4 linked regions of the Oreochromis niloticus genome follow. The protein of the gene in region 4 interacts with the protein of the main gene of each other region in a pairwise test. Links are inferred from orthologs where the notes say so. Each region holds a gene or a part of one and is shown on either strand. Other genes may lie near its edges.

Region 1 (7,439 bases), on a different chromosome or scaffold from region 4:
GTAACTTTTTTTAAGACTGAAGGAAGTTTTAATTTTGCAACTTTTCAAATATAAATCACTTCAAAATGAGGTATAAAAGTTATGGTGTTTATGAGACTCAAAGAAGAAGTCTGTGTTTAGTTTGTGTTTAAGACTTATTCAGATTTTACAATTAATATTCCAAAATTGGCAGTACTTGGCTTTTATCCAGTTGTAAAAATAAGACATGATGATAATAATTTTAATTGTATGCAGCACATAAAGGGTTCTCTTTAGGCTTCCTCCCACAGTCCAAAAGCATGCATTCATGGTTGTGGTTTTAAATTGACAACAGGTAGGTATATGAGTGTGAACATGACCATGAATGTGAATGGTTGCCCATCTGTGTGTTAGCCCTGTGACCTGTGCTGGGTGTACCCTGCCTCTCCCCATTAAGCTGGGATAGGCTCCAGCCCCCCAGCATTAGCAACCCCATAGTTTTTCATTTCCAGTGAGTGATTTAAGGTGATTCTAGCAGGAAGTTGTCACAGTGAACTACATGAAACTCTTCTGGTGAGACGGGACCTTTAACTTACCCCTGTGTGGTTGAGGCTGTGACACTGACAACCATAATGGTGGCATTGGTAAGGATTTGCTGCAGCGTTTCATTGTTTTTGCATTTCTCCAGATTGTTTCCCAGCTCCTAGATACAAACCACAAAAAAAGAAGAAAAATTAGGGGAGAAAACATCATGTTCAAACAAACTACAGGAAACAATGTTTTTAACAGGTGCAGTTTTAAACTCTTTAATCATGTCAGTTTTGTTAAAAATAGAAATCCTAATTCTAACTAAAAAACAGAAACAGTCAACTCTGAGCTTCTTTTTTGGGGGGGGGGGTCAAAGATGAATACATAGTTCAGCTCACCTTGACAGTACGGATGTAATCCAAAGAATCCGGCACCAGAGACTCCAGCTCTGGAAACCTCTTGGAGTATTTGTCCCTGGTAAACTTGTGGATGATATCTAGAAACAAATCAGAAACACAGAGGACATCTCAGGTTATAAGGAAGAGAACTAAATCTCAAAACATAGCATTATGGATCACCAGAGAGAAGAAGCCAACTCACTGAGCTCGTTGTCGATCTCCACTGTGAGGTTATTAGCTGCGACGATCAGTCTGTATTCTGGGTCAGCCTCGACTGGGCCTGAGACTAAAAGCAAACAAAAAAAATAATAATAACAACTCCATGACTACTCTGGGTTACCATTAAGTTCAAATTAAATGTGTTTACAGAGTAAAACAGAGAAATGAATGGAAACTGATAGTGAGAAGAGCCTTAAATAATAATAACAACACTCACCCTCTGAGTTCTTACGCTGCTTTCCAATATATTCAGAAATTTTGTCCATTATCTCTGAAAACTGCAAAACACACAAGAGTCACTCTGGGAAGAACAGAGCAGACATTTTACTGCTAATCTCAACATGTGTAAAGCTCTTGTATGATACAACTCACCTGTTTGCTATTGCGAAGCTTTGCAATAGACGCGACGCTCTCAGCTTTACTGTAGTCCACCTCCATCTCCTCTGGGATGTCTTCCAGCCCTCCGTCTGCACTTCCCTGGTTCGGCTCTCCATCGCTGTCCCTCTCTTCTTCTGGGTACAGCCCATCCTCTCCCTCATCTCCGGCCTCCTCCAGATCAGCCAGGAGCTCATCTGCCAGAGACATCTGCAATCGATGGGAAAACTGTGAGGACAAGCAAAGCTGACTAGGATCAGTTTGCCTACATGAGGTTGTCACTGAGTTTGGTGGGGTATATGTTCTTTATTTGCTGCTGTTGATGTAACTCTGAATTTATTTATTTTTTTATTAATGATCTGGTTACATAACTTGAGGATCCCATATTTAAAAGGTCAGCAGTGCGATCACTGGCTCATCTAGTCCTTACTTACATTGAACTGAAGTGAAATTTGGGATGAAAACAAACCCAAAAAAGCTCCTCCTGATGTGTCACTAGCATGTGGGATAAACTAAGTGTATACAATAAGCCTCTGTATAAATGTGTGCATAAACAGATTTATGTGGCTTTTAGTGTAAAGAGCTTTAAGTGGTTTACAAGACCAGAGAAGTGTGATACAAATGCATTCTGTTTCACAAAATTATTTATGCTCGCTTTGGAGATTTCCAAAAATGTTTCCCAAGTATCTTCAATTATAGAACATACACCAATAATCTCAGCATTAGATCACATAAAAGTACAGTAACTTTTTTTTTTGTTTTAACTCTGTGTTGGGAAAGCCTACATATCTGATGAAATCCCTTGGGTTCTAACTGCTTGGCCTTTTTTGACTGTTTTCTGAGGGCTTATAAAGCAATCTCTACAGACGCACAACCAGCAACTAAAACAATATTCTTATTCTTAAATTCTTATTTTAAAAAAAAAAAAAAAAAAAAAAAGCACGTCTCTAATATCCCCTTCCTTAATAGTATTATTTGAGCACTAGATACTTAATACTAGTTTTACTCATTTATCAAACAATACAAATACAAATCAAATGCAAAAAGTGTGTCAATACAAAAACTTATGGACCTCGCTGTGTTTTCAAGCCTGAAAGAGAAATTCATCTGTAGACATATTTTTGTGACATATTCTTCTGACAAAGAAGCTCTTCTCAGACTCGTCTGAGATACTATCGAGGCCGTGTTCAGTCCCTCACACACTATCACCGCCACATAAAAACTGTGAAGTATTAAGTCTGCTTCCATCTTTGGGTTATCGCTGGCTGTGTTTGGAGTTAACATTGTTAGCTAGCTAGCATTAGCGAACGTTGGTCCGACGTTACTGAGCGATTTCTCAGTAACTTTGACATACCTCAGAGTTTCAGAGTCCTACTGGTTTAAGAAAAAATAAAGACGTCCAATGCAGGTTTCAGTCGCTTTGAATAGAAATAAAAAACGATTCGTCCCTCTGTTTTCTTGACTGTTTGCAATCCGGTTGTGCGGCGCCGATGTACCGCTGGTCGCAGATTAAATACGTACATTCGCAAAGCTTTGTGGGAAACTGTGTCAGTACACTTCACAATCACAGAGGCACAATCAATATCAGACTCTACCAACAAAAAGGCTCTCAAAACAATATATATCTGTGAATTTTTGCGTGTATTCTTGTAACTTTTTACCCCTGCCTTTGTGTGTTCATGTTCTGTTGTTTTGTATACTTCATCTGTTCGTATGTTGTATACTCATTGTTTGTTAAATAAAGTTTAACAAAAAAAAAAAAAAAAAAATCACAGAGGGTGTTTTTTGTTTTGCTTTTTGACACAGGTTTGATTATCTATCTATCTATCTATCTATCTATCTGTGAAATATATACAGTACATACATAAACTCGGTGTACAGTACAGTGAAAATATGGATTAAGATCTGTTTGAATGCAAAATACGATGCTCTAAGTTGATCTGAATGTATATGTGTAATAAGGCGAATAGGTACTGGTGAATACTAATGGTGAGTTATATTTATTTATTACAATATGCTTTTGGGTGTAACTGCAAATTTAAAATGAACCACTTAAAGTTGTTTTTTTTTTTCATGTTTTTCATAAGTATAATTTTAATTAAAGTATCCTCACACACACCTCCACCTCCCCTTTTACACCCTAGGGATAATTTAGTGGAAGCTAGGAAAAAAATGTTAGCATAATGACTTAGTCTCACAACACTAACCTTAATTTAGAGTTACTAAGTCAAAATTTCAAAATACCTAACCCAAAATGTTGATTTAAGGACATCAAAAATATACATAAAAATATTAATAATGATAATCAGTAGCAGAAAAAACGCTTCCATGTTTCCCAGCCTCACCTGTGCTGGGAGGTGACATTTTTATATTGTATCTACCTAGATTATGGAGTTGGGGTCATGGCTTTGCTGGCTGACAGGTTTTCCCAGCACAGACAGCTGGAGCAATCCATCTCATTTTCACTAACTGTGTCTGTGATGTCAGTGCCTTCTGAAGCATTAATTGATTTATAATATATAACTTGCTCTTACAGCCCATACGTCTCTGAGTAAAATTTCTAGTATGTCAATAGTTTGCAACTTAGCCCTCATTGACAAACATGTATCTGGATATAAGTGCAGCTTTTCTTGGTCATGAATGAAGTAAAAGTAACAATCGAGCTTATTTATATGACGCAGTTCAAATAAGAGGTTCACATTTCATAGTTTTTATTTCCCCCTTGTTTATACATTGCCCCCTGAAAACCATTCTTTAAACAATACAAGTTTAAACCAACATTTAAACAGACTAAACAAATTGACTAGTTGGATCTCGACTGCATGATGGACTGTTATTAGTAGAAAATGGAATAAATTAACAGATACACAAACAAATGGGAGTTATTTACTAATGAAAGGCTTCGATTTTTCATGCTAAGCTACATTAACTGTCATTAATTAAGATAAAAGAATGACGAGACAGCTAAAAATTCATAGACATCGGAAAATAATGAAACATTACAGGACGTTGTTCCATACATATTGGCATATATTAACAAGTAAAATTATACAAAATACTTTTTTTTTTGTTTAGCAATTAAGACGTTTGGGAAAATATTTTGATTTATTTGTTATGAAGATCTTGGAGAAGTTATAGACCTAGATGCATTTCTGTCCCAAACAAATTATAGCTAAGTTCATATATGCAATTGCACCAAAGCAAATAAATACATAACTTAATAGATTAAATAAATAATTAAGATATTGCATGGAAACTGACTTTACATAAATTAAGTAAAATAACATAGAAATAAATATAGAAATTAAAGCTTTTCAGAAATAAAAGTAAAAATAAACTGCTTGTTTCATTTTTCGTGCAGTCTAAGAATACATCTAAAAGTAAACAGCTCTAAAATGATACTGTATACACTTGTATTATGATGTTTGTACAAATGCTGAGGAGTATTGTCAAATACAGGAGTCAAGCAATTTCTGTTTCAAACTGCTGCCTACAAGAACAACTGACTGACTGCAATGAAAAATGTCCTTAATAAAGAGAGGACCGGGATCCAAGCGTTTACATAGACAGACGAATGACTAAAGAAAGTGCATTCCCTGCACACCCAGGGAAAAACAGAACAAAGCAGAAAAAGAGAAGGTAAGCTGGTACACAGCAAGACTCCCACTGCATAGCTGTCGAATCTGTTTCAGATTTTACAAAGCTCCCGGCTCCTCTTCGCCTAGCATATGCTGCCTTTTCCAAAGATTTCTGCAGCCAAAGGCTATGAATAAACTCTGTAAACAGTGGCAGGCCGGAGCTCAGCAACCCCCAGTCGTACAAAATCCCGTCACTAGTAAAACCTGGAATGTTTCCAGCTTTTAGAATCGAAGTCTCTTCTTTCAGTTGCCTCTTCAATAAAAAAATATCCTCTGGGCGAATGGCTGGTTGTTGGGTTAATTCACGGGCCAGTCCGAGAGGGTTGAGCTCTAAAGTGTTTCCAGGATGATGTGCAACATCACACCAGGTGTGGGTCATCAGCCGGGCTGACAGTGAAGCGCGATGAAGTCACTGAATTTGCCCCGACAGGTGACCTTGGTTTGACTGATAAATCCTCTTTCCTTTTCGATTCTTTGCTTTTTGGCCCTAAAAGAGACAAAAAACAACATTAGCATCATGACTGTGCTGGTGTTAAAACCAGAACAAGTGCACCAGGCATAAATACCGAAGCCCAAATGAACAGGATGTTCCCGGGCAATAAGCGTGTGTTTGACTGTAAGGGGAAGTTTAAGGAAAGTCTTTTTATTGGAATTAAACCAAAACATTCACCCGGTTCACAATCAATCACAACTGAAACAATTAAGTTTTCTAATCGTTTGTTGGCTGCATTGCACAAACAAATCAGAATCCACTAAGAAGTCAAAGAACTGTCAAACTTGGAGGACTAGAACTACCTAATTCTGCCATAAAAAGCAATGAAAATATATAAAAGGATCAGTGTGTCATAGCACTGAGCATGTTATATCAGCATGATGGTTAATAGGCAGGCCCGGCCCTTCCAACAGGACCACTCCCTCCATCATCACAACGAATAAGATCATAATTATCATCATCATCTAACAGGATACCAGCGATATGAAGCATGTGTGACAAAGCGATGTTTCAAGCTACCACTTTGTTTATTCTAAAGAGGTGGTGCTGGTTGTCTACCAATCAAGGACCAATCCCTGGCTCGTCTTGTGCCATGTGTCAAAGCATCCCTGGACAAGACACTGAACCCTGAGTTGCCCCCAGTGCATTGATGTGAGTGTGTGCACGTATAAGGTATAAACAGGCTGTTTGAATGAGACTCGCTTTGAGTGCTCAGAATTGAGTAGAAGGTGCCAGAAGTACCAATCCATTTACCACGAAGTTCTTTCTTGGTCGTTTTGTGCATCAACATTGAGAATCTGATATTATCAATATCATTCAGTACATCAGGGCGAGCATTACCTGCTTGAAGGTAATGCTGAGAAAAAGTACCTGTAAAATTACCAGTGTGACCTTGAGCCGAAGCACAGTTTGGATGAAGGCCCATTAGGTGATCAATGTGTAATTTTGATTAAATTCTGACCGATACTGTAGGAGGAGTAGGTCTTCTTATGAATTTTGATGATCAACCAATCTATTCATAGGAGAATGATGATCCATCTGTGACTGGGACACATGTTTACTCACTTATAAGATGCACAAGAAAAAACCCCCAGTACCAAGCACAGGGGAGAAAATCAGCTGATAATCTAGATCTTAATAGATCTAGATTATCAGTCAACAACCACACTGAGGCGACGCAGACTTAGTTTAAAATAACTCAAAAGTAACACGGATTCCTCTTTCAAAACTTTGAAGTCTTGAAAGGCTTGAAAGATCATTAAGGAATCTAATTTTGCCTTTTCTGTATGTGACACAGCTCGAAAGCAAACTCTGAGCCCCAACTTTCATTAGTCTGTGAAAAAGGGTGTTGAGTGCATGAGATGGAGAGTGGAAAGTAGCGAGAGCAGCTGAAAATGTGCAGGGAAACATGACTCGGGCTTGCATTGTTGAGTGCGGGATTAACATCCCTGCTAAGTTCAACATGTCACAGCATCCCGGGGCATAATTATAGAAGATTAACTCTGGCTCCATATTTGCAGCGGAGAGAGCTGAACTGAGGTTTTCCATTTTAGCTGGGAATGTGCTAGCGGCTGTCACATTTTGTTACATCATTAGGCAGCTCAAGGAGGAGACTAACTGAATCCCTGTGTAAGAAGCAGCAGACACTGATGTACGTAGAGTCCAACAAGCCAGCAGTTATGGTAACAGCTGTGTGGTGCAGCGCTGCACTGAAAGCTAACATCAGCATCAGTTATTATTAGTTTTGTATTTTCTCATTCGCTTTTATTTTATGTCGTTTAGAGTTTTTGTTTCAGTACAGATAATACAATATAAACATTTTTTGAAAGC
Region 2 (7,211 bases), on a different chromosome or scaffold from region 4:
GACTTCCCCATCCTTTTTATGAGGTGGGTGTGAGAGCGCACAGGCGCACTTTAGATTTTGAATTATCCGTGCAGATTTGATAGCAGCGTTGTATGTTAACTGGAGTGCGGTTCCATCCATTAGAATATGAGCATGCATTTCTATGATATAACAATAAAAACGGAATCTCTGACTGTCTTGCATGAATAGAAACTCAAGTTTAGCAAATGGCTAATTGATTGGCTTAAAAATCAATACCAGTCTAGCACATGAGGGTGAGTCAAGGATGCATGTGAACTTTCAGTAAACTGCACCTTCTCTCGTCACTTAAGACTGCTCAACATGACCAGAATGAGTGTCATCAACAAGCTCTGGTTGGGTGTCTGGCACACCTACTTGAATATTTAAAAAGGCTCTCTTTGCTAATTAAATGATCCTTTTTCCACTGTATTAAAAAAATTAGAATAAAACAGCCTTCGCTGAACACAGATCCTGTTTGTGTCTCTTGCAGAGCTAACTCAAGTCATTTAGGACCAGTTTTCTGTTCTTTTGTTGACTGTAAAACAGGACAGACCGCGTTATGACCTGCAGAGGCTCTCTCCTTTTGCTTTGTGCTCTGTCAACATGGCGCCACGTTTGGCGTCTTTCAGGGCAGGCCAAAGAGCCTTCAACCAGGACGCCTTAATGAGCACTGATGACGTTAGTACAATTTGAGACACATGTCGTGCAGAAATGCACCAAACTTTGCGGACGGTTGCATGACCATGACAGATCTACATCAGCTTAGTCCTGCTTTTAACTTGATTTAATATCACAGCTTAATATAATCCAGAAGAAAAGTTCTACGGGCTATGAGAAGCACAGTTTTTCCTTTTAAATTCATGCAAGATGTTTAAACGATCTGACTTGCTCAGTAAGGCTGCAACAGCAAAATACGGAAAACTGAACACACAACCTGGTGATTTCCTCACCTGATGTAGTCGTTTCTACAGAGGATCATGCCACTTTTTGTGTAGCACGATGTGCCGATCTCACCCAGCTGGGCCTGGCAGCAGGAGCACTTGAGGCATCGGCTGTGCCAGTAGCTGTCCATGGTGTAAAGGAGGAAACGGTCCGCAATTTTGCCCCCGCAGCCGGCGCACCGCTTCCAGGACAGAGAACCTGTGCCCACCGGTGGTGGCTGGCTGCTGCCTCCGGGATTCACCATCGTACCTGAGAACACACAGAAGAAACCATGACAGGTTGCTGTTCAGACTTCTTTTTTTTCTTTTACACTTAAGGACTGCTTAAGTGCACACAAGGGTCAGGACTTACACAGCTATGAGTTGACACATTTGTCATAACTGATCAGTTATCAGCTGTTTGAACATACTGTTGTATCTGCAGCTGCGAAGCCCGATCTCTGCTACAAGACAACCACAAGACACTTAGTGAATTAATCTGCCCTTGATCTCTACGCTGTTGCTTCATCAGACCTCTTGTGATGAATGTCTATTCACTGATAACACTGTGGGGCCAGAGGAACAATTACACAGCACGGGCCTTTGTTGAGCTGTCCTAAGAATTTCTAAATGGCGCACAATTCCTCACTATGCAAAGAGGTGATGTCCACAGCAAAACTCAAGGGAGCGAGTAAAGAGAGGCTGATGTTTGGCACATTAGTTGTGATGCTGCATGAGCCTTTGACCTCAGCCAAGTATATGATCACGCATCTACACCACAGCCCTGATACAGCGATGTGCACACGCTGTAATGATGTTAAATGTTCTAATCTACTGAAATGCAGGCATTTGTTTCACCCACCAAATTAATGTGGGCTCTTTCAAATGTAATCCTCTCCAATTTGGTCAGGCAGCCTCGCCTGGATAAAGCCAAATCTTTGTTGAAAGACAGGTAGGCTAATTAGAGTTAGGAAGAGGGAGGCTGGGGGGTGCACAGAGAAAAGCATTCAGTAAGCCCATTAGCGATGGCTCTTAGGGACAAACCACAGCGTACCTTAGTGCTGATTAAATCTAAAAGGAGATGAATCAAAAAAGCCGACCTGAAAGTGACTCCCGGATAAACAAGACGGGGCCATCATCAAGTTTCATTCAGAGGAGTTTCCTTTTTTTCCGCTGAGGGATGGAGGGGACGGGGAGGGGAAGAGGAGGGGGGTGGCTTTTAACTTAAATGGGCTAACTCAAGTAATTACACGGGCAAGCAATTTGGAGACCAAGTCATGGAAATAGAAGAGGGAGCGAGAGAGACGGAGGGGGGGGAACATATCAGACAGCCATGTGCTAAAAGCTTCTGTCCGCTGCCTGCTGCCTGATTTTGTTTTTGAAATAGAAAATAAAAGAAATGCAGCTTCACATCTCAATTACTACAAGCTAAGTGCTTAAAAAAAAGACCAGTGTAATGTCGGCTGTCACATCTGAGCGCAGGCATTCTTAAAATAGACACGGGAGGACTCAAAACCGACTGTTTCCACTCTGAAAACTACGGACAATTACAGGTAGCATATATACATATAAAAATATATATACAGCGCAAACACACAGAACAGCTGTACCAGCGGCAAACACCCACCTCGTTTGTCTCCTTTCAGGGTAATGGCTGTAAAGTTGATGGCTTGAATGGCAGGTAGGCGAACAGGTAGGCTACAACAACAGTACCCCAAAAAAGTACAGGTAGAAAGCGGACGCACCACCGAGCGCGGTCGTCGGCCTCCAGCTCCGCGCGGCAGCGAAACCCTCGAGCTCGGCTCTTCAGCAAGCAAATGGAGTTATCAGATAGTATTTCCACTGGATGCTTCCCGTTTAACTGCTGCTGCCGCTTTTAGTGCTCTTTTTCTCGCTGGAACAAAAACGAGTCCATCACAAGCCGTAATTACAGGTCTGCGCATGCCGTTGAGTCCACAGAGCTGGGGAAGTGCGTGGAGAAGAGGGAGGGAGGAAAAACAGAAACACGGAGGCAGGCAGAGAAGCTGTAATTGACTGTCCTCTGCTCTGGTCTCTGGGTCCCGTTAGCTGCTTGTTCTACATGTGTCGCTGACAGGAAGAAACCTCCAGTAAAAAAGCCCCTTCAGCCGCGTGACGAAAGGGCCTCGGCAGCCAATCAGCGCGCGGTCCATTTAGGAGGAATAACAATTCTGGCCAATCAGAGGGAGGCGAGACTGACTCGGACACGCAGACAGAGAAGGATGGAAACGGAGGTGAGATGGACCGGAGAGAAGAGACACGCAGCAGTCCAATGTATACAAGCCAAATCAGGGGCAGAGACCAGATTAGAGCGGATTTATACGCCAAAGAAAATCCGTAGAATAAACTCAGTGTCCTGTTTAAGGAGCTTCAATATCACCGTGATAAATATATTATCTCTTCCAAACGTCCATAATACTCGGACATGGAGAGATTGGATATGAAGCATTGTAATAATATAAAGATTAAACTGTCTCCATTGTCAGGACTACTGAAAGCTGCATAGCAACATCCTGTAGGCTGCATTCATCTCACGCCCGACTTTAATTAGTTGACATTCAATAACTACTTAGTTTACCGAGGGTGACTCCAACCTCTGGGAAATATCAAGCCCCCCTAATAGCTGCGTAGTGGCGCCATCGTCTGTCACTGAAAAAAATCGCAGCGAGGCCTGCTGTCGTTTACAACCTCATTAAGCCTCGGGTCATTGGTTTCAACACCTATTAAGGCTAATCTGCAAGACCTGATTTGGCTGAGATCCTTTTAATTCCTTCAGTTTGAGTTTTTCCACCATCACGTGACACATCAGAGATCCCATCAACTGAAGGTAACTGTGACGCTTTTTAATAAAAATGAAATGTATATGGTGGCGACACCACGACAGAGAGGCGGGGGGGCTGCTCTCCTTGTAAAGAAAAGCTGCAAACAAGTGACGTCTTCAGTTTAACCAAAAACAGTTGCTATTGGAGAAAAGTTTCCCTGTTTGAGATTCAGCAGGCTGAGTGGTTTTACATGACAAAACGGCTCTCTTATAAGATGCCCCTGGCTTCATTAGAAAGACGTCAGATGTATAAAGATGATCTTTTTCTTGACTTTAATTGTTTAATTATTCCTGCAGCTCCGAAGAGATCGCGCTGCATCAAGCTGATTTCCCTTTTGGCAAAGCCAGTGCTACTCCGCCTTGGTTTGAGCCACATTCTCCTGACATTCTCATCAAGCCTCTCACTCAGCAGAACAAAAAAACCCCACGGAAGATTGCAAAGAATGTCTTTTCCACCAAGGAATGATTAATTGATATAAATGATTAAAACAGAGGAAAATTATGAAATGAATTTGAAAAGAGGCCTCACAGGAAAAGCTTTGTTTGTTCCGGGCCTTTTTTAATGAGCTTTTCATAACTGGGCAAGAGAAATTACTCTGCGTGTTCTTTTTCTGGAGCTCTTTTGCAAAATAATTATGGCTAGTTGAAGTGAGGAGGAGGTGGAGGGGTCAGGGAGACAAGGAGGGAGAGAAGAGTGGGTGGCTGGGTAGGTGGGGGTTCCCTCAGAAATTGATCACCTCCTTTCTCCGCTGAGATCTTTGAGTCCTGTGGCAGTTTCCAAGCAGCTGCATTATGACAAAAAAAAAGAAGAAAGCAGCCAACAACAATATGATTGAACACTATTTCAGTGTTTAAACAGGGACAAGAGAGCGTCAGATGTGGCTCACAGTGTTGATACTCCCCACAGGGGTGATCTCACTGAGATGAAAAGGAGACCACGGTGCTTCATAATGAAGCTGCTTGTCCTGTGGGAAAAAGCAGGAGAGCCGCATTGAGCACGGTGGTTAACTTCAGCCTGGGATTCGCTCTGTGTTCTCGTGTATTGACGTGACACTGAGCCGCAGAGAGGCCGGTTTCAGCCTGAGAGTTTACACAAAACCTCCAGGTCACTCCAACTTTCTCTCAGGCTCACATTCTGAGATCGCGCAGCTACATGTGGCCTCGTCCGCCATTTGCGATACGACGTTGCCCTCGCTTTACTGCATATGTTGTCTGTAAAAGAGAATGATGTTCGTTTAGCTGAGCCAACTGATCAGGGAAGATTAGAGTTCAGATTATCTGCAGATACAGAGAAGCTGCTCTAGGACTGCACACAGCGTGGCACAAAGATCTCTGAGTGAAATCTGCTAAATGAGTAAAAGGTTACTTACCTAAAGAGGCATTAAAGGAACACTTAAAGTCCACATTCTCTGTAAAACATGTTGATTCAGGATGCTTCTGAAAGTGATAAACTGATTGATGCCAATTTCCTGAACATCTAAAGTGCTTTTTTCTGGATCAGACACAACACACCAATACACACAACTTTGTGCATCTGGGGAAATAGCAAAGGTTTGCAAAATGTTAAAGTTATTATAATTATATAATCCAGGGCTGTCAAAGTCAATTTCATCAAGGGCAATATATATATATTTTCTTCAAATTCTTTAATTCGATCAAAAATGCGTGCCCTGCATAGCCTTCTCATGTACAGTTTGATCCACATACTTCACCCAGGCCACAAGAGTGCTCCTTTGCCTTTCCATGATGGGAATCTGCACACCGTCCCAAAGAACCTCTACTGGATTTAGATCTGGTGACTGTGGAGACCATGTGAGTATTATGAGCTCATTGTAATGTTCAAGTAGCCAGTTTGAAATGATCTGAGGTTTGTGACATGTTGCGATCAGAAAATGGGTACACTGTGGTCATAAAGGAATGCACATGGTCAGCAGCAATACTCAGACAGACTATGGTGTTTAAATGATGCTGAGCTGGTACTAGTATTCCAAGAAATATTCCCCACACCACCGCCGGCAGCCTGAAATGTTGATACAAGGCAGGATGGATCTGTGCTTCCATGCTGTTCATGCCAAATTCTGACGCCACCACTTGAAAGTGGCAACAGAAACCGAGGCTCATCTGACTAGGCATCGTTTTTCCAGTCTTCTAAAATCCAATGTTGAGAATGCCCATGTGAATTGTAGGCTCAATTTCCTGCTCTTAGTTGATAGGAGTTGCACCAGGTGTGGTCTTCTGCTGCTGTAGGCCATCTGCTTCAAGGTTCAATGTGTTGTTCGGTGTGTGGATTTTGACTTACTGTTCCTTTCCTGTCAGCTCAAAGAAGTCTGGTAGTTGTCCTCTGACCTCTGGCATCAACACAGCATTTTCACCCAGTGAACTGCTGCTCGTATTTTCTCAGACCATTCTCTATAAACCCTAGAGATGGTTATGTGGGAAAATCCCAGCAGATCAGCACTTTCTGAAATACTCAGACCAGCCCATCTGGCATCAACAACAATGTTACATCAAGTCACTTAAATCACCATTTTTCCATATTCTCTCAGATTCTGAACTTCAGCAGGTCATCTTAACAATGCCTAAATGCAATTTGTTGCTGCCATGTGACTGGCAGATTATATATTTGTATTAACAAGCAGCTGAACAGGTGTATCTCATACACATGAGTTAAGCTTCATAAGTAAAAGAAATAGATTTTTCATCATGAATTTTTCTTAAAATTTTATTAAGAATCTAAAATAATATATGGATTAGATAACATTTTGCAAAGGGACAAATTTGGCTCCATGGTCTTGAGTTTGGCACATGTGGCATAATCAAAGCTAAAGAAGAGTTTGCAGATCATAGCACAATCATGCATGATATTCATGTGACTATACTAGACAATATAGTATTGTTTGTTTCTGATGTTTACTTATTTTTGGTACCAAAATAATTTACAAATGGGTTATTTGTAAGTAAACACCAAACGTTTTTAATTCAACTTTAACTGAGGATGTCATAGCACATCTGTGCTCACATTTGGCCAAGTATGAGGTACTCAGTAGTAAATAGCCCAAGATTTATATGGCAATTTTGCATTCTTACTGACCACTCAAAGTCAGGCAGTGTTTTCCACCCTCGAGTCACTACTGCACAGAATCTGGTCACAGGAGCAGAATGGCAGCACACGTGTTCATTTCCATAACAGTGTAGCTTCTCTTTTGTAAAGTGAAAGGAAGTGGGGATAATGCATCAGTCATATGTAGGGGTGGCTGTAGCTCAGGTGGTGGAGCAGGTCATCCACTGATTGGAAGGTTAGTGGTTTGATTCCTGGCTTCCCCAGTTTGAATGCCAAATATCCTTGGGCAAGATACTAACCCCATGTTGCATTCATGGGGTGGAATGAATCCATTCATTGGAGTATGAATGTTAGATAAGCATTGGGTGAATGAGTTAGTTGTATAAAACTC
Region 3 (7,568 bases), on a different chromosome or scaffold from region 4:
CACACAGTCACTGGCCACTTTATTAGGTATACCTCACTAGTTTTCCTTCAGAACTGTTTTAATTCTATTTAACAAGGTGCTGGAAACATTCCTTGGATTTTGGTCCATATTGACTTGACAGTCTTATGCACTTGCTGCAGATTTGTCATGTGCACAACCATGGTGTGAGTTTGCACCAGACTTTGAAGGTGCTCCACTGGATTGAGATCTGGTGACTCTTGAGGCCATTTGAGTACAGTGAACTGATTGTCAAGTTCATGACTGGAGCTTTGTGACATACTGCGTTATCCTGCTGGGTGCAGGGTACCAAGAAAATATCTGGCACACCATTACACCGCTACCAGCCTGATCCTCTGATACAAGGGAGGGTGGATCTATACTTTCATTTTATTTATGCCAAATTGTAACAATACCATCCAAATTCCCGGGAGAAACTGACACTCACTGGACCAGGCAACATTTTTCAATTCTTTGATGTCTAACTTTGGTTAGCCTGTGCAAACTGTAGCCTGTTTCCTGTTCTTAGCCCCTCTGGTCTCCTTCTCCTCTGACCATCTACAACAACAAGGCCAGAGAACTCGGTTCAGCAGATCATCTTTACCATGTTTCAATGCTTAAACTAATTCAGTTGCTGCCATGTTATTAGCTGATTAGATATTTGCATGAAAGAGTAATTGTACATGTGTACCTAATGAAGTAGTCAGTAAGCGTATGTCACTTGACTGTGACGGACTCCAGCCAGCTCATCACCTCTTTAAGTCCCTCTCCAGATCTGGCACTGACTTCCAGTGTTGTGATTGGCTGAGTCGCAGATGCAACAATGTCATCCATCCTGAACAGTGACTTTATCTCTATAAGGCTCATAGTGCAAGGCGTGTCCCTGGGGGAAAAATTTAAAATTGGAAAAGAAAATCAAAAATTTCCTAGTGGTATTATTAGCTTTCCTTATTACATACAAATTGCATTAAACCTGCTAGAGATCTTGTACAATATAGTAAAACACTAATAGAGACTGATGTGTATTCTAGGAGTGTCACCTCTTGTTGAAGAGAATAAGCACAGAGGCCTTGCTCAGAGGCTCAGCTGAGAGTACTGACAGCAGCTGGATACAGGAGGAGGATATCTGAGCAATGTTGGCTGAATCCACCATGAACTATGGAGAAATGTAAACAAAAGAAATCTACTCAAACACTTCAATTTAGAAAACCCATATTGAATATTACAAATATAAACAGCATGTATACAAAGATCATACAATGACAGAGGAGCAGTCTTTGAAGTAACTGGGCCATATAGGGCCCATGCAGCCTCCCAGCTCTCTCACAGTCACCTTCTTCTTCTTCACGGTCAGGTCTGTCAGATTGGTTCCTACCTACAAAGAATGAAGACTGGAGATTGAAGAAATTACACGGATAAGGTGTCAGAGAATTTGAACTGTCCATTAGTACTTACTGTGGGAAGAGTTGAAGGTGGTGTCCCTAATTCATCTAAACCATGTACGATAAACTGTAAATGAAATCTGATAGGAAAATTGACTTGAGCCAGCATTGCTATCAGCTTTAAAGAAAAACATTTTGAAATGTTTATGCAATATTTTATGAGCTATGAAAGTAGAACTTGAATATTTGTTATGAGTAAGGTTGGTGATGTCACAGCTGAGAGACTACTGTTCACTTGTCACCTCACAAATGAGATCATGTCATCTGCTCAGATGACAGTTTATTAATAATCCACCAATTTGGGCAAAGTTTATATGCGATGGGCCCCATGCATGTAATCTAGGCAACTGGAGGATAGTGTTTAACTTGTGCTGTTGCAGATCACTTCCCTTTCAATCTCTGAAATATAATTTTTAGAATAAAAGCAACTGGAAAAATACAGAAATAGCTAGCAGGCTGTATCTGGTAAGTATGCCAAGGACTTTTGAAGTGCAGGAGAAGCTCCTGAAGACATTTTATGACTCTGTGGTTCCAACAGCCATCTGTAATGGTGTTGGTCTGTTGGGGCAGCAGTATCTCTACTGGGGACAAAAAGAATTGAAACAGGTAGACCAAGAGTGCCAACGTGATGCCCTCTTGACCCAGTGGAGGTAGTAAGTGACCGGTAGCATTGTAGCTAAACACCTCCCACCCAATGCAGGACACTCTTACAGCACTGAGCAGCTTCTTAAGCGTCAGGCTGCTGGACCCACGGTGTGTAAAGGAGCAATATTGGAGGTCTTTCCATCTAGCAGAGCCGCAGCAGTAAAACACATGTATATTTACACATGCACACATTAGGGACTGATAAATAACAGTGTGCAACTGTTTTCAACACTCCATCTCCTATTAGCATCATCTGGGGGTTCTGTTTTGTTGCTTCTAGGCATCTAAAGATGTTATATTTTATCACTGCGCCATATATGTACACACATTTAAATTATACTTCTACCTTGTACATGTTTCCTATTGTTTTATATAATTATAATTATTATTGTTATTATCCACTTTCTGACCATTGACAATTTCACATTACAGTACAGCACTAATTTCTGCAGTAATGCGAATTTCCAAACTAATAAGGGCTATCATAGCTTCTATATTGTAATAATAATCTCTCTTAGAGGTCTTATTATGAAGATGAATTTGTACACATACCGATGCAAAATAAAATAACACTGGGTATCGACATTTGGCAATTGGGAAAGGCGATATACAGACCCTGGTCGTCCATTACTTAGCAACTTAAGTACTACACAAGCTCATAGGCTAAATTAGTTAGCTAATTAAGCTATTTGGTAGTATTTCCTTTTACGTCAAAGAAATTCACATGGCCACAAAGGATATTTTGTAGACGTTTGAGCAACAACGTCTTACCAACACCGGTCGCTCCGAGGAGTAAACACATTTCTTTGCTGGTCATGCCGGTTTTTCTGCAGAACCATAGTTAAACTCGTAGCGTATAGCTGTAGCCTCACTTGGCACCATGGCGACGTTCACGTGACCGGGCAGACGTCGCAACTATTGGACAAAGTAGAAATCAATCCAATCATAAACAACCCAGACTTGTTTATGATTGGCTACTACTCTATCATTATTTACATACCGGAAGCAAAACAAAATCCTGCTTCGGGACAAAGTCCTGGTTGGCTGCCACAACGGAAACTGTCAGAAAGACTTTCATACCCGCATTTGCAATGCGTAGTTGGTTTTAGTCCTGCTGTAACTGTCCTGGAACTGATGATAAATAATCATGGAAGCTAAGTTAAAGAAGGAGTTGGGGACAACCATGCTGAAATCAGCTGGTCATGCTGGAGGTGGATGCATCAGCGAGGGACAGAGTTATCATACTGACACTGGGAAAGTGTTTGTAAAGACAAATCACAAGAGTGAGGTATCTGCCATTGTTAGTTTTTCATTTTCTTTAACTGTTGTGTCATTCAGTTAGTTCATGGTCGGCTTTCGGCGTGTGCTCAACTCGGGACTTAAATGAATAGGACATGATCCAGCAGCTGCACCACACTACTGTCCGTGGACTTTGTGCGGGTGTTGTGGAGTGGAGAACGATGCAAATATTTACAGTTACTGAAGCTTGTGTTTACCAGACCGTGTTGTCCTGTCTTTAATTTATCCAGGCCAAACTGATGTTTGATGGAGAAGTGGCCAGTTTGGAGGCTATTGTAAAGACAGAAACCGTGAAAGTCCCCAAGCCCATAAAGGTGATTGAGCTTGACACGGGAGGCTCTGTATTTGTGATGGAACATCTGGACATGAACAGTCTTAGCAAGTAAGAGAGCTCTTGACTACATTTTTTTCTTTAGTGCAGTTTAAAGCAGAATTTGGGCAGATGAATTTAGTTTTAGAAACACTGAGCAAAATATTTTTTCAATGACATACTTTATTTTTAAATGCAATGAGCAGGTACTCAAAACAGCTAGGAGAGAAGATGGCAGATCTGCATCTTCACAACAAGAAACAACTGGAAAAATTAAATAAAGAGCAACAGACAGTGGGTAATTCAGTTTAACTTAATTTTAGGATGCCACAATGTGGATAATACACACACACACACACACACACACACACACACACACACACACACAACCCCGTTCAGCTATCTTAGTGAGGACCCTCATTGACATAATGGTTTCCCTAGCCCCTTACCCTAACCCTAACCATTAAAAATGAATGCCTAACCCTAACCCTTACCCTAAACCTAACCATAACCTAATTGTAACCCTGACACTAAAACCACGTTTTAAGCCTCAAAAATGGCTTTAAATGCCTTCAAAAATGTGAGGACCGGGTTGTGTGTCCTCACAAGTGACTGCTGGTTCTCACAAGTATAGTAGAATGCAGATTTCGGTCCTCACAAAGATAGCTAGACAAGAACACACACACACACCAATGAATAATAATGAACTGTGTCATATTTTAGGTAAAACGTTTGTGATGACTGTTTATTAATATTGCGGCTATATATGCAGGAAAAGGAGCGGGTCAGTCAGATGTGGCTGCTGTTGAAAAATTTGGCTTCCATGTAACTACATGCTGTGGATATCTGCCACAGGTAAAGCCAATGTATACGTGTCGATATACTGTGTCTGCATTCTAGGGGAAGGTGTACAGTATTGATGTCTCTAAGTTGTGTTACAAATGTTTGGTCTCCAAATCTTCAAGATGTTAAAGTGAATTTCAGCAGCATCACAGTTTCTTCTCTTTCTTACCTCTCCAGGACAATCAATGGCAGAGTGATTGGGTGGCATTCTACACCCAGCAGAGGCTACAGCACCAGCTTAACGTGGTGGAGAAATCGTATGGAGACAGGGAGACCAGAGAACTATGGGCTGAGTTACAGGTGCAACCTCCCTTTGATTCTGTTTGAAATTAAACATATTTTGCACAAGACATTATGATTGTTTCAGCATTGTAATGTGCATGTTGTGTCTCTTATTTCCAGCTGAAGATCCCCCAGTTCTTCAAAGATGTGGAGATAGTCCCCGCTCTCCTACATGGAGATTTATGGGGAGGAAACGTGGCAGAGTGTGCAGACGGCCCAGTCATCTTCGATCCTGCTTCCTTCTATGGGCACTCTGAGTTTGAGTTGGGTATTGCTGGGATGTTTGGTGGCTTCAACAGCGCTTTTTACTCTGCATACCACAGCAAGATTCCCCAAGCACCAGGATTTGCAAAGAGGAACCAGCTTTACCAACTCTTCCACTACCTGAATCACTGGAACCACTTTGGTGGTGGTTACAAAGGTTCTTCCATAAGAGTTATGAAGACCCTGCTGAAATAAACACACTCACAGCCACTCTTAGAAAGCATTGCAGTCTTAAATTGAAGTATTATGCGATTTTGCTTATTTGACCAAAAACAGTGTGTGAAGACACTAAACAACACATCTAACACTTTAATGTCTTCTGTACTGTGTAGAAAATGCTGACCTAACATAGCAAAAACTGTTGCATCCTGCCAGCTCATCTGACACTGTCCGGCTTCCTAATATTTATAACAGAATCCGCAAATAAATTCTGTATTTTGCACAAGGTGTTACAGTGAATTAAGTGTAGTTTGTGTACAGACATACATTAAACAAAACTTGCAAATCAGAAGACTGTACAACACACCCATGATTCAACTTAAAAATGAATGTTTTTTATTTATTTATGTTAATATTTAGGAATCCTTTATAAGCAGGTAGAACAAACTAGAATCTGACTTTCACTATGGATGCAATGTTTTATATTTTATCTACATTATAGTAGAATGGCTACGAATGGAATAAAGGTTGGCATACTAACTACACCTACAAAATATCACTGTATAACAATGAGTCATTGCAAGCCCTTGTTGTGCATGGTATAACCAGTATTAAATCCTAAGTGAATCCACTGTGTTTATCCAGACCTGCTGAATTTGTTATTTATCTAGTGTGAAAACCTTTACACCCTGTGAATGGAGGCATGGAAAAGAAAAACACTCCCATTTGGATGGAAATGTTTCATCATTAGATCAGCTTCACAGCAGCCCAAATAACTGTTTAGCAGTGTTGGGAAGGTTACTTTTAAAATGTATTCCATTACAGAATACTGAATACATGGCCCAAAATGTATTCTGTAACGCAGGGGTGGGCAATTCCAGGCCCCGAGGGCCGGTGTCCCTGCAGGTTTTAGATCTCACCTTGGGTCAACACACCTGAATCACATGATTAGTTCATTACCAGGCCTCTGAAGAACATCAGGACATGTTGAGGAGCTAATTTAGCCATTTAAATCAGCTGTGTTGGTTCAAGGACACGTGTAAAACCTGCAGGGACACCAGCCCTCGGGGCCTGGAATTGCCCACCCCTGCTGTAACGTATTCCGTTACGTTACTCAATGAGAGTAACGTATTCTGAATACTTTGGATTACTTAATATATTATCATGCTGTTTACAACTACGTGAATGTACTATTGCTGTGATTTATTACTGTTACTGAAGGTCCGCGGCTCCGAACAGTAGTAAAGGGACCTCGGGCTAATACAGTGGGTTCCGTGTCGGGCTGGTAGCCGAAAAATAGCTTTACTTTGTTGTCTGGGTCAACTTTGCTTGCCAGAGACAGAGAGAGGCGTTGAAAGGCTGCTCCAACGGAACTTATTTTTTCCGGAGGAAAACACGAACACAGTGTACAATTGAGTCTTAATAGCTTACTTAATAGCTTACTTAATAGCTTACTAGCTTACGCCCCACAGCTTACTTACTGTGGGGCGATCGTGGCTCAAGAGTTGGGAGTTCGCCTTGTAATCGGAAGGTTGCCGGTTCGATATGTTTTCCTTGAAATGGATAGCTGTTTGTTTGCTAGTGATAGGCTACTTGCGAACCAGTGTTCTCCAGACAGAGAATTGCGTGTCAATGTATTATGATTTATTATGAAAGTACAGGTGAATATAGCTCTCCCGTCAATATATTATGATATATAATAAATGTACAGGTGAATATAGCTGTCATAACAATGTCAGGCAAAATTGCAGTAGCTTCCCTGATCATTTTACAAACATAAGTGAAGAGAATTTGAACTAAAAGGCCTAGACTAATGGTTGTGTGCTGAATCTATGAATCAAACTATCACCTGGAAACATAATTAACTGGTCCATAGCCGTGAAACTGGACATGAGTTCTTGATTCTATGGAGATTAACAGTAATCCAGAAATTTACAAATTTGTCCTGGGACATCGTGTTAAAGTTGCCAGAGACATACCATAGCCTCTTTTAGCCCCTGTTTGTTTTATATCATAAGTCGCAGAAGTATGACGTCACAAGAAGGTGATTGGTCACTTGCAATGTTGAACCTGGAACAACATTTATTATGATGATGTGGGAACAACGCCAACACGAGGAAATCAGATCGTCCGGCTGTGGCTACTATGTAGCTTGCCATCACCAGTGTGTGAATGTGTGTGTGAATGGGTGGATGTCTGGATATGTAAAGCGCTTTGGGGTCCTTAGGGACTAGTAAAGTGCTATATAAATACAGGCCATTTACCATTTACTTACAAATGGGCTCGTCAGGCACTCTTCTTGGCTGCAGTGGTTATTATTATATTTA
Region 4 (7,794 bases):
AAAATGACATTAAATACCAAAAATGTTTTCTTAAAAAATCCAAAACTTGTTAGACTGTCAAGAGAGCTCAAAGAATGTGATTGTGTTACTTGCTGCACACAATTTGTCCCAGTACTTTTTTTAAAATCACCAGAACAAATATTAAAGCAATGGTCTTGTTAGCACATTTATTATGTTTTCTACTCAAACAAGTACAAATGTGGTGAAAAACAAGTGAGTAATGAAAATCAGAAACAAATCACAGAGAAATAGGAAATTTGAATACCCAGCTGCCACCTCAGCTCAACTTCGAATATACAGAAGAAATTAATGGACTGATGGATGAACATCTGACTAATGAGTCACTGCTTTGAAGATCAGGAATTAATTACTATTAATCAGCTATAAAGAGTGCTACTAAAGTGCAGGATAAACTTAAAGCAGTAGCATAGAGTAGAGAACTAGCTGATATTCACAGAGGGATTCTTGGGAGAGGAGACTTGAAAGCCTATCATTTTTTAATCAATGTAATTTTATGATTATTCCTATTAAACGTTCTATAACAAAAAGCTGATGAACCTGAGTGCTGAAACAATCAGATGACATAACGTGTTCATTATAGTGTTTCTGCGGCAGCAACTGACAGGGGTAGAGGAAAGTGAGTTTTTGATATGCACATAAGTTGCTACACCAGTGCTTTTTTGGATAAATTATTAAACATCAGCATATATATTGTGGTATTGAAGGTACTGGAAATAGTAAGTGTTTTGAGACAAATGACAGACTATATTCAGCTGTCTATCTAGTCAAACTGGCTGCGACTCCAGCAGCTTGGACTGCAGCTGGTGATAGTAGTCAGCCAGTTCATCATGCACAGACTGCTCCAGGTTCTAGTTGGAATGCTGCTCATTTGTGCAACAGAACAAGGACTGCTATATATCCACAACCTAAGACACTGAATGACATCAAGGAATCATCACAACAGTCTTAGTCAACATGGAAATATAATACAGGACGGCATTCTTTCAAAATGAAGGAGACAATGCTGACGCTGTAGTGGGCTAAGTGGACAATCCTATGTATATTCAAGTCAACCGAACTACATTATATTACTATTATAAACTCATCTGGACTGTTATTTATACCATCTCATGAAATTATATATTAGTTCTTGAAATTCTTACCTTATGCTACATATTGCAATATGTAAAAGCCACAGTTGTGGTCAGGGGCTTAAAAAACACTGTCTCATGTGCAACGCCCTTCTTAGGTAAACATGTCTGTCATCAGCGCCCCAAAGAGGTGTAAATACTTCTACTCTGCTGTAGATAATAATTGGCAAAAAAAAAAAGAAAAAAAGTATTCTATCTATCTATCTCATATATATATATATATATATATATATATGTATACACACACACACACATATATGTTCTTCAGCCAAACACACAAATACAACACCCTTCAACTTGAGAGAACAAATCATGAAATGACCATCTACCAAGCACAAAAAGAGGATGTCATTTGACGACAACAACAACAACAACAATAAGGCAAACTGTTATGCTTACATTGTCTGGAGAGTTTCTGTCTGGTGAAGGTGCATCAAGTTGGCTGGATCCCTTCACCTTTCTCTTCTTCTTGGCTGCTCCTCCTTTTTCTCCTCCTACACTAGCAGGGGAGCTCTTCTGTTGAAATTCCTTCAGCTGAGTAGGAAATGAGAGAAGAAACCCATAAACGTGTGCACATGAACAATGTCTACTAATATATATTTATTTGTCACGTCTTACACATATAGTACCAGGACTCTGCAACTGTCCCAAACTATAGATATTATTTCAAACAAATTACACTCAACATCTCGAGCGTCTTAACAAGCTGAATGAATGAGGTAATAAAATTCGAATTCAGTGCTCCAATTCCAAAACAATGCACCAGCTAGCAGAAAGATCCGGCTTCAAACGGATGAAGTTAGTAAGTTGTGCTAAACAATGATAACCTGCGTATGATATGCATATGACGGTTAAAGCATACCAGAACGCTCTAACAGCTGTCTAAGGGGAACTGCTGGGGCTTTTTTTTTTTTTAACAGTAAAGCTAAATAGCAGCAAAATGACATGTCACCACGACCACTCAGTCGTGAAGCTTGTGGGCCAGCAAAAAATGCTGGCGAGTCACTTCTTGAATCTGATAAGGCCATCTTTCTGACTAGCCGAAAAAGACACCAAGCCAAAGCACACAGCAGGACAGGGAAGAGGGGTGTCAGCTGTCAAAACACCCCCCGTCAGTCCATCCAGCTAACTGTGCTACAGGGGTAGCTTACAAGCTCAATGAGTGCTGTGTTTTAAAACTACCGTTTGTTAGACATTTTCTTATGAAATTAAATTCTGCAGATAACACAAAAAGCTGGCAGGCTGCTGTGCGACATTCCTTAGACACACACGTAGCCATATATTCATCAGCTAGTTAGCTAGCTTGCTAACGTTAACTTGCCTGGGTTAGCACGTTAGGCTTTAACTACATTTAAATGTCAGCTGGAAAGTCAAGTAAAGCGGCCAAGCAAGTGGTGCAAGTTAATCTGCGAGTACATAAACAGCGTGGGATAGTATGCGTGTCTCTACTAACTAAAAATAGTCTACATAATCTGGGAAAGTTAATGCTATCAGCAGAGGCCCCGATGAAACATCGGTCTCTCCTACGCAACAGAGCCGCGAGAGGAGCGGAGGAGGTCGGACAAGCGACAGTGCAGAACTCGGGCGACGTGTAATGACAACACCCTTGCCCCGTAAAAAATATACATAACGAAAAGACAAGAAAACAGAGTTAACACAGACTTGTGTACATAAAGTGGGAACTACACTTTTCGCGCTATGTAACTGCGTTACTTGTAAAATACTTTACCTTTTTCTTAGCTGCAGCGAGTTTTATTTGCCTACTCTGGTCGGCCATCCTGCTGCTCTGGTGGTCAACTGAGCGAACCACGTCATCAGCTTGGCGCTCATACGCGTCTAAGCCAGTAGGTGGCGCAGAGCTCAAGCTGTGCCCTCGACATAGCATAAAACATCTTTATACCGTCTATGGCCGTGAGCTTACAACCTCACATAAATTAGCCTGAACCATGTTTTCTTTCTTTTGTTATATGAAATATATAAAGTATTATTTTCGACAGAGTTTAGGAAAAAATGTATTAACACCTTTGCTATGTGGTTGTCGGCTGCTTTCATTGTCTGTAGTTGTTGCTACTTTACCTTTGTGTTTCTCTATAATTAAGATAAATATAGCCTATTATTTTGTAGGTTACATTTATTACACAGAAATGTACCGTACAGTACTGTCTTATTTTATGTTTTAAAAAATGACTTTTTTCACTTTCTTTTTGTAATATGTAAATTTACCACAGGTGTAATGAAGTGTAGTACTGTGGAAAAAATCTTGATCCTCCCTTACACAAAAGAAAATAAGGTATATAAGGGAAATTCTAACAATTCTGTACAAACAAGCTTGGAAGTCTCTTTGGAATGACCACCTTTATTCTTTCACACAGTCAGAACGCTCTGAGGCAGATTTCTTGTCATTCCTCTTCAAGTCATACTCTTCCTTCCTCTTCTTGTCATACTCTTCAAGAATAATTCTCCAGGCTCCTTAAGGGACATTCAAACATTTTATAAAAAAATATGAGAAAAAAAAAACTCTACAAAATGTCAATCTATTAATTCATATTAATAGAAAGCATATCAGAAAGGGGTTTCCATACAACAAACACAAGGCGAAACCAATGCTAGTAGTCCTTACATTGTAATAACCTGTATGAAGGCCTTACTGATCACTTCCTCCTTGATTTAGCAACATGGCTCCTCCTAGTGTTAACTATGATATCCAACTCTTTTTACTAGATTTAAAAGTCCAAGTAAAAAGTTCAATTGTATACAAAGAAAATGACACATTAAACCCAGAATTTTCCATCAGGTTTGTTTCACTGCCCTGTGTGGTTTTAGTCTTAATGAGTCATCATTGTCTTTCAAGTTTACAGGTTAGTTTTGCTTTTGTTTGTAACACAAAGAAAGCAGATATAAATGACACAAATAGTAAACTGCCTGACAGTAACATTAGAAGGACCTTATAAACAATATAAACGCATCTTTTAGATTTTCTTGAATAAAATATAAGGAATTCTACTAACAGGAACTGGAGGCTTCTCCGTAACAATATGCTTTTCAATTCATCAGCATTAGCTTTAAAATGAGGGTATCCTTTGAATAGAATAATAAAATTTTCTGTAGAAATCCCTGCAAAGTCTGAAAAGGGCTTCAAAATAAAATAATAATAAAATACTTTGCATTACTTTAAGACAATAAAGAAAAAGATGAAACACTGAAATCTGATGTTCACTTGTTATTCTCCCATAAAACGTAATCAGAATTGGAGGCCACTAAGTAAGAGGTTTCCAAATCTAGACATAGAAATGTTTATGGTTTTTATGGGAAACTATGTAAATAAATAAATAAAAGAAATAGACAAAACTTAACTGCTACACTGATATTTTATAATTTTATGACTTTTCTATATTCTTCCTGACAGTACAACCGGTTTAGTTCAGGAACCTTCTGGAAATATATCAGTGTTAATAGAAGAATTCAGATAAATCACAGTAGGAGAAAGCAGATCAGTTCAATTCTATCCATGTAATGATTTTGGATTTTAGAAAATTCTTGCAATTAGTTAGTGTTTTTAAAATACCCATATCATAGCCTTGTACTTTGGCTGGTATATATTGGCACATTTGCCAAGGATCATATCTTGACAATGGCAGTCAGCTACCTTGACTTTTTAAGCAAATATTTGTCTTGTTGATTGAACTGAAACCCAACTGAATGTGCCAGTTTATGTTACCTTCTTATGTGTGCAAAAGATTTCAACCAAACTGAAATCAGTGTGATCACATGTATCTGTAGTCTTTAGCTAAGACTTGTACATTCACTGAGGAAACACCCAGACAACCCAGTTCACCTGGTACAAGATTTCCTGTCAGATTCATCACAATCACACAAAGGATTTGGATTTTCATACTCATAGCAGTTAGTCATTACGTCTCACAATTGCATCACTATCTCCTCGTAATGACACGCCTTAAAACCGCAAAATTAAGATTACAAATCAAACACTTGGTGGGCCATTGCAAAAAAAAATTATTGCAGCAAAAATCTGTAAATGTATGAAATGCGAGAAATGCATCCACCTCTCCCCCGGCATTGAGAGTGGCATGTCGCTGCACCAACTGTGTTCAGGATTGCCCTTGACAGACAGCCAATCAGCGTCGGCGCAGTGGACACATACGGTGACGTCTCTTCAACCTGATGTGTGCAAATCAGCGGCGGCCAGCGTGCTGAATGAAACCAATCAGCGTGTTCCAACGAGCAACAGCTCAGCCAATCGCGAGCCTCCACGACGGGAAAGAAGTGACGGCTTATATATGGAGAGACCACATTTCGTACAGCATCATTCTACACAAGTAAGGATTTGAAAGAGACAAAAGATATACAGGTTGCTCCAAGCGTCTTTTACCGGTAGAGGAAACTCAAAGGCCGTTAATTCATTGGTTGAACTTCTGTTAAGGTATGTATAAACGTTAATATGAATATGATAATGAAGCATCGCGGTATTTTCCATTTTCTGCAAAATGTTTTATTAAGGTAAAACCGGTTAAGGTCAATATTGACCAATAAACCAGCTGAAATGTAACTACACTACTGTCGTCTGAATGAACTGTACAGACTCTGTAACCTAAATATAATAAACAGGATGTAGTTTGGAATGTTCTAGCATGGTGGTTTCCCCCTGCATGTCTGCTAGGCATGGTAGCGTAGTTAGCAAGATACCGGCGAATTGGCGGGGGGGTGGTGGTGGTCATGACGGTGATTGACTGGTGATCCAACTTATTTTATCGATAATTCATATTTTCCTGTTATATTTATTCGCCAAGACCAACTTTTAGTCTGCCATGGGTCTGCAAGCTCAGCAAGTGACATTACGCAGTACCGTTAGTTTCTGGCTAGCGCACTTGGGAGGCTGAACCCATCTAATGTGTTACATTGTATTTCTTTTCTGCAGATCCGCTTGTAGATATAAGTACAAACAAAGATGAAGCTGTTCTGGGTTGTGATGCTGGTGGTCGGCACAGTGTTTGCCGCCGACGATGAAGACAAGAAGGACAACGTGGGGACTGTGGTTGGGATTGATCTGGGGACCACATACTCATGGTAATCACGTCAAGCTCTTATAGTGACATGATACCACCATGGAATAAAATGGCATTCAGACTAAATTCAAACTGTTTTCTTGCAGTGTTGGAGTGTTCAAGAATGGACGCGTGGAGATTATTGCCAATGACCAGGGAAACCGAATCACCCCCTCCTATGTGGCCTTCACCAGTGAAGGTGAGCGTCTGATTGGTGATGCTGCCAAGAATCAGCTGACCTCTAACCCTGAGAACACCATCTTTGATGCCAAGAGGCTCATTGGTCGCACTTGGGGTGATCCTTCTGTGCAGCAGGACATCAAGTACCTGCCCTTCAAGGTGAGCTTCTAAACTGAAAGTAAAACTTGTAGTAGTTGATTCTTTGGGTCATGTTTGAGTGAAATTCTTGTTAAATTAATATTGGTGTGTATTCCTATGAAGGTTACTGAGAAGAAGAGCAAGCCCCATATCCAGGTTGACATTGGTGGTGGCCAGATGAAGACCTTTGCTCCTGAGGAGGTCTCTGCTATGGTGCTAACTAAGATGAAGGAGACTGCTGAGGCTTACCTGGGCAAGAAGGTACAAAAAGTCAGAGATTGTAAATCAGTGAAAAAGCTAATCTTAATTAAATGGTGTATCATCAAATCTAACTTTATCCTTTTTCCTCAGGTCACACATGCTGTGGTCACTGTCCCCGCCTACTTTAATGATGCCCAGCGCCAGGCCACTAAGGATGCTGGTACCATTGCTGGTCTGAATGTTATGCGAATCATCAATGAGCCGTAAGCATCCAGTCAAAATGAATTTGATCATCTGCAATTTGAAACTGTCAAAAAAATATCTCTGCCCTCCCTTCTAACAATAAACTCTCATTGTATTCTTTAGAACTGCTGCTGCTATTGCTTATGGCCTGGACAAGAAGGACGGAGAGAAGAACATTCTTGTGTTCGATCTGGGCGGTGGCACCTTTGATGTCTCTCTTCTGACCATTGACAACGGTGTGTTCGAAGTGGTGGCCACCAACGGTGACACTCATCTGGGAGGTGAGGACTTTGACCAGCGTGTCATGGAGCACTTCATCAAGCTGTACAAGAAGAAGACTGGCAAAGATGTGCGCAAAGACAACCGTGCTGTGCAGAAGCTGCGTCGTGAGGTCGAGAAGGCCAAGAGGGCGCTGTCTGCCCAGCACCAAGCCCGCATTGAGATCGAGTCTTTCTTTGAGGGAGAGGACTTCTCTGAGACCCTGACTCGTGCCAAGTTTGAGGAACTGAACATGGTAAGATATTAATTTGGTTCTGAAAATATTGCGTATTAAACCCAATTGGAGAAATGGTTGACCAAGGTTTTTTAACCTGTGTGTTCTTCAAAACCCAGGACCTGTTCCGTTCCACCATGAAGCCTGTACAGAAGGTGCTGGAAGATTCTGACTTGAAGAAGTCTGACATTGATGAGATTGTCCTGGTTGGAGGCTCCACCCGTATCCCCAAAATCCAGCAGCTGGTGAAGGAGTTCTTCAATGGCAAAGAGCCATCTAGAGGCATCAACCCTGATGAGGCTGTGGCATACGGAGCTGCTGTGCA

What was found.
Region 1: the proteins of golga2 (region 4) and prpf31 interact in binary tests that used the Homo sapiens proteins (3 or more experiments, as listed by UniProt). The two-hybrid records come from large-scale screens. The link is inferred for Oreochromis niloticus from reciprocal best matches to the Homo sapiens genes GOLGA2 and PRPF31.
Region 2: the proteins of golga2 (region 4) and lmo4b interact in binary tests that used the Homo sapiens proteins (3 or more experiments, as listed by UniProt). The two-hybrid records come from large-scale screens. The link is inferred for Oreochromis niloticus from reciprocal best matches to the Homo sapiens genes GOLGA2 and LMO4.
Region 3: the proteins of golga2 (region 4) and arl16 interact in binary tests that used the Homo sapiens proteins (3 or more experiments, as listed by UniProt). The two-hybrid records come from large-scale screens. The link is inferred for Oreochromis niloticus from reciprocal best matches to the Homo sapiens genes GOLGA2 and ARL16.

What each region holds. Positions count from the first base shown.
Region 1 is NC_031976.2:22,012,202-22,019,640, forward strand, and holds the start of prpf31 (U4/U6 small nuclear ribonucleoprotein Prp31), read right to left. Parts: upstream 3,012-7,439; 5' UTR 2,833-3,011; intron 1,707-2,832; 5' UTR 1,689-1,706; coding exon 1,476-1,688; intron 1,382-1,475; coding exon 1,321-1,381; intron 1,171-1,320; coding exon 1,087-1,170; intron 983-1,086; coding exon 885-982; intron 662-884; coding exon 555-661; intron 1-554. Other genes in the region: uncharacterized protein lmtk3, read right to left, coding at 5,476-5,603. UniProt on the Homo sapiens protein: Involved in pre-mRNA splicing as component of the spliceosome. Required for the assembly of the U4/U5/U6 tri-snRNP complex, one of the building blocks of the spliceosome.
Region 2 is NC_031986.2:31,964,664-31,971,874, forward strand, and holds the start of lmo4b (LIM domain transcription factor LMO4b), read right to left. Parts: upstream 3,006-7,211; 5' UTR 2,548-3,005; intron 1,192-2,547; 5' UTR 1,187-1,191; coding exon 951-1,186; intron 1-950. UniProt on the Homo sapiens protein: Transcription cofactor. Plays a role in establishing motor neuron identity, in concert with MNX1, acting, at least in part, to disrupt LDB1-LHX3 complexes thereby negatively modulating interneuron genes in motor neurons.
Region 3 is NC_031969.2:22,590,634-22,598,201, reverse strand, and holds arl16 (ADP-ribosylation factor-like protein 16), read right to left. Parts: upstream 3,014-7,568; 5' UTR 2,902-3,013; coding exon 2,826-2,901; intron 1,520-2,825; exon of another isoform or gene 1,509-1,519; coding exon 1,453-1,508; intron 1,373-1,452; coding exon 1,256-1,372; intron 1,154-1,255; coding exon 1,038-1,153; intron 881-1,037; coding exon 715-880; 3' UTR 689-714; intron 556-688; 3' UTR 110-555; downstream 1-109. Other genes in the region: fn3krp (ketosamine-3-kinase), read left to right, coding at 3,232-3,372, 3,614-3,765, 3,900-3,991, 4,466-4,548, 4,714-4,836, 4,939-5,277. UniProt on the Homo sapiens protein: May suppress the RNA sensing activity of RIGI in a GTP-dependent.
Region 4 is NC_031972.2:20,385,418-20,393,211, reverse strand, and holds the start of golga2 (golgin subfamily A member 2), read right to left. Parts: upstream 3,012-7,794; 5' UTR 2,929-3,011; coding exon 2,881-2,928; intron 1,686-2,880; coding exon 1,551-1,685; intron 1-1,550. Other genes in the region: endoplasmic reticulum chaperone BiP, read left to right, coding at 6,118-6,236, 6,322-6,553, 6,656-6,793, 6,884-6,996, 7,100-7,490, 7,589-7,794. UniProt on the Homo sapiens protein: Peripheral membrane component of the cis-Golgi stack that acts as a membrane skeleton that maintains the structure of the Golgi apparatus, and as a vesicle thether that facilitates vesicle fusion to the Golgi membrane.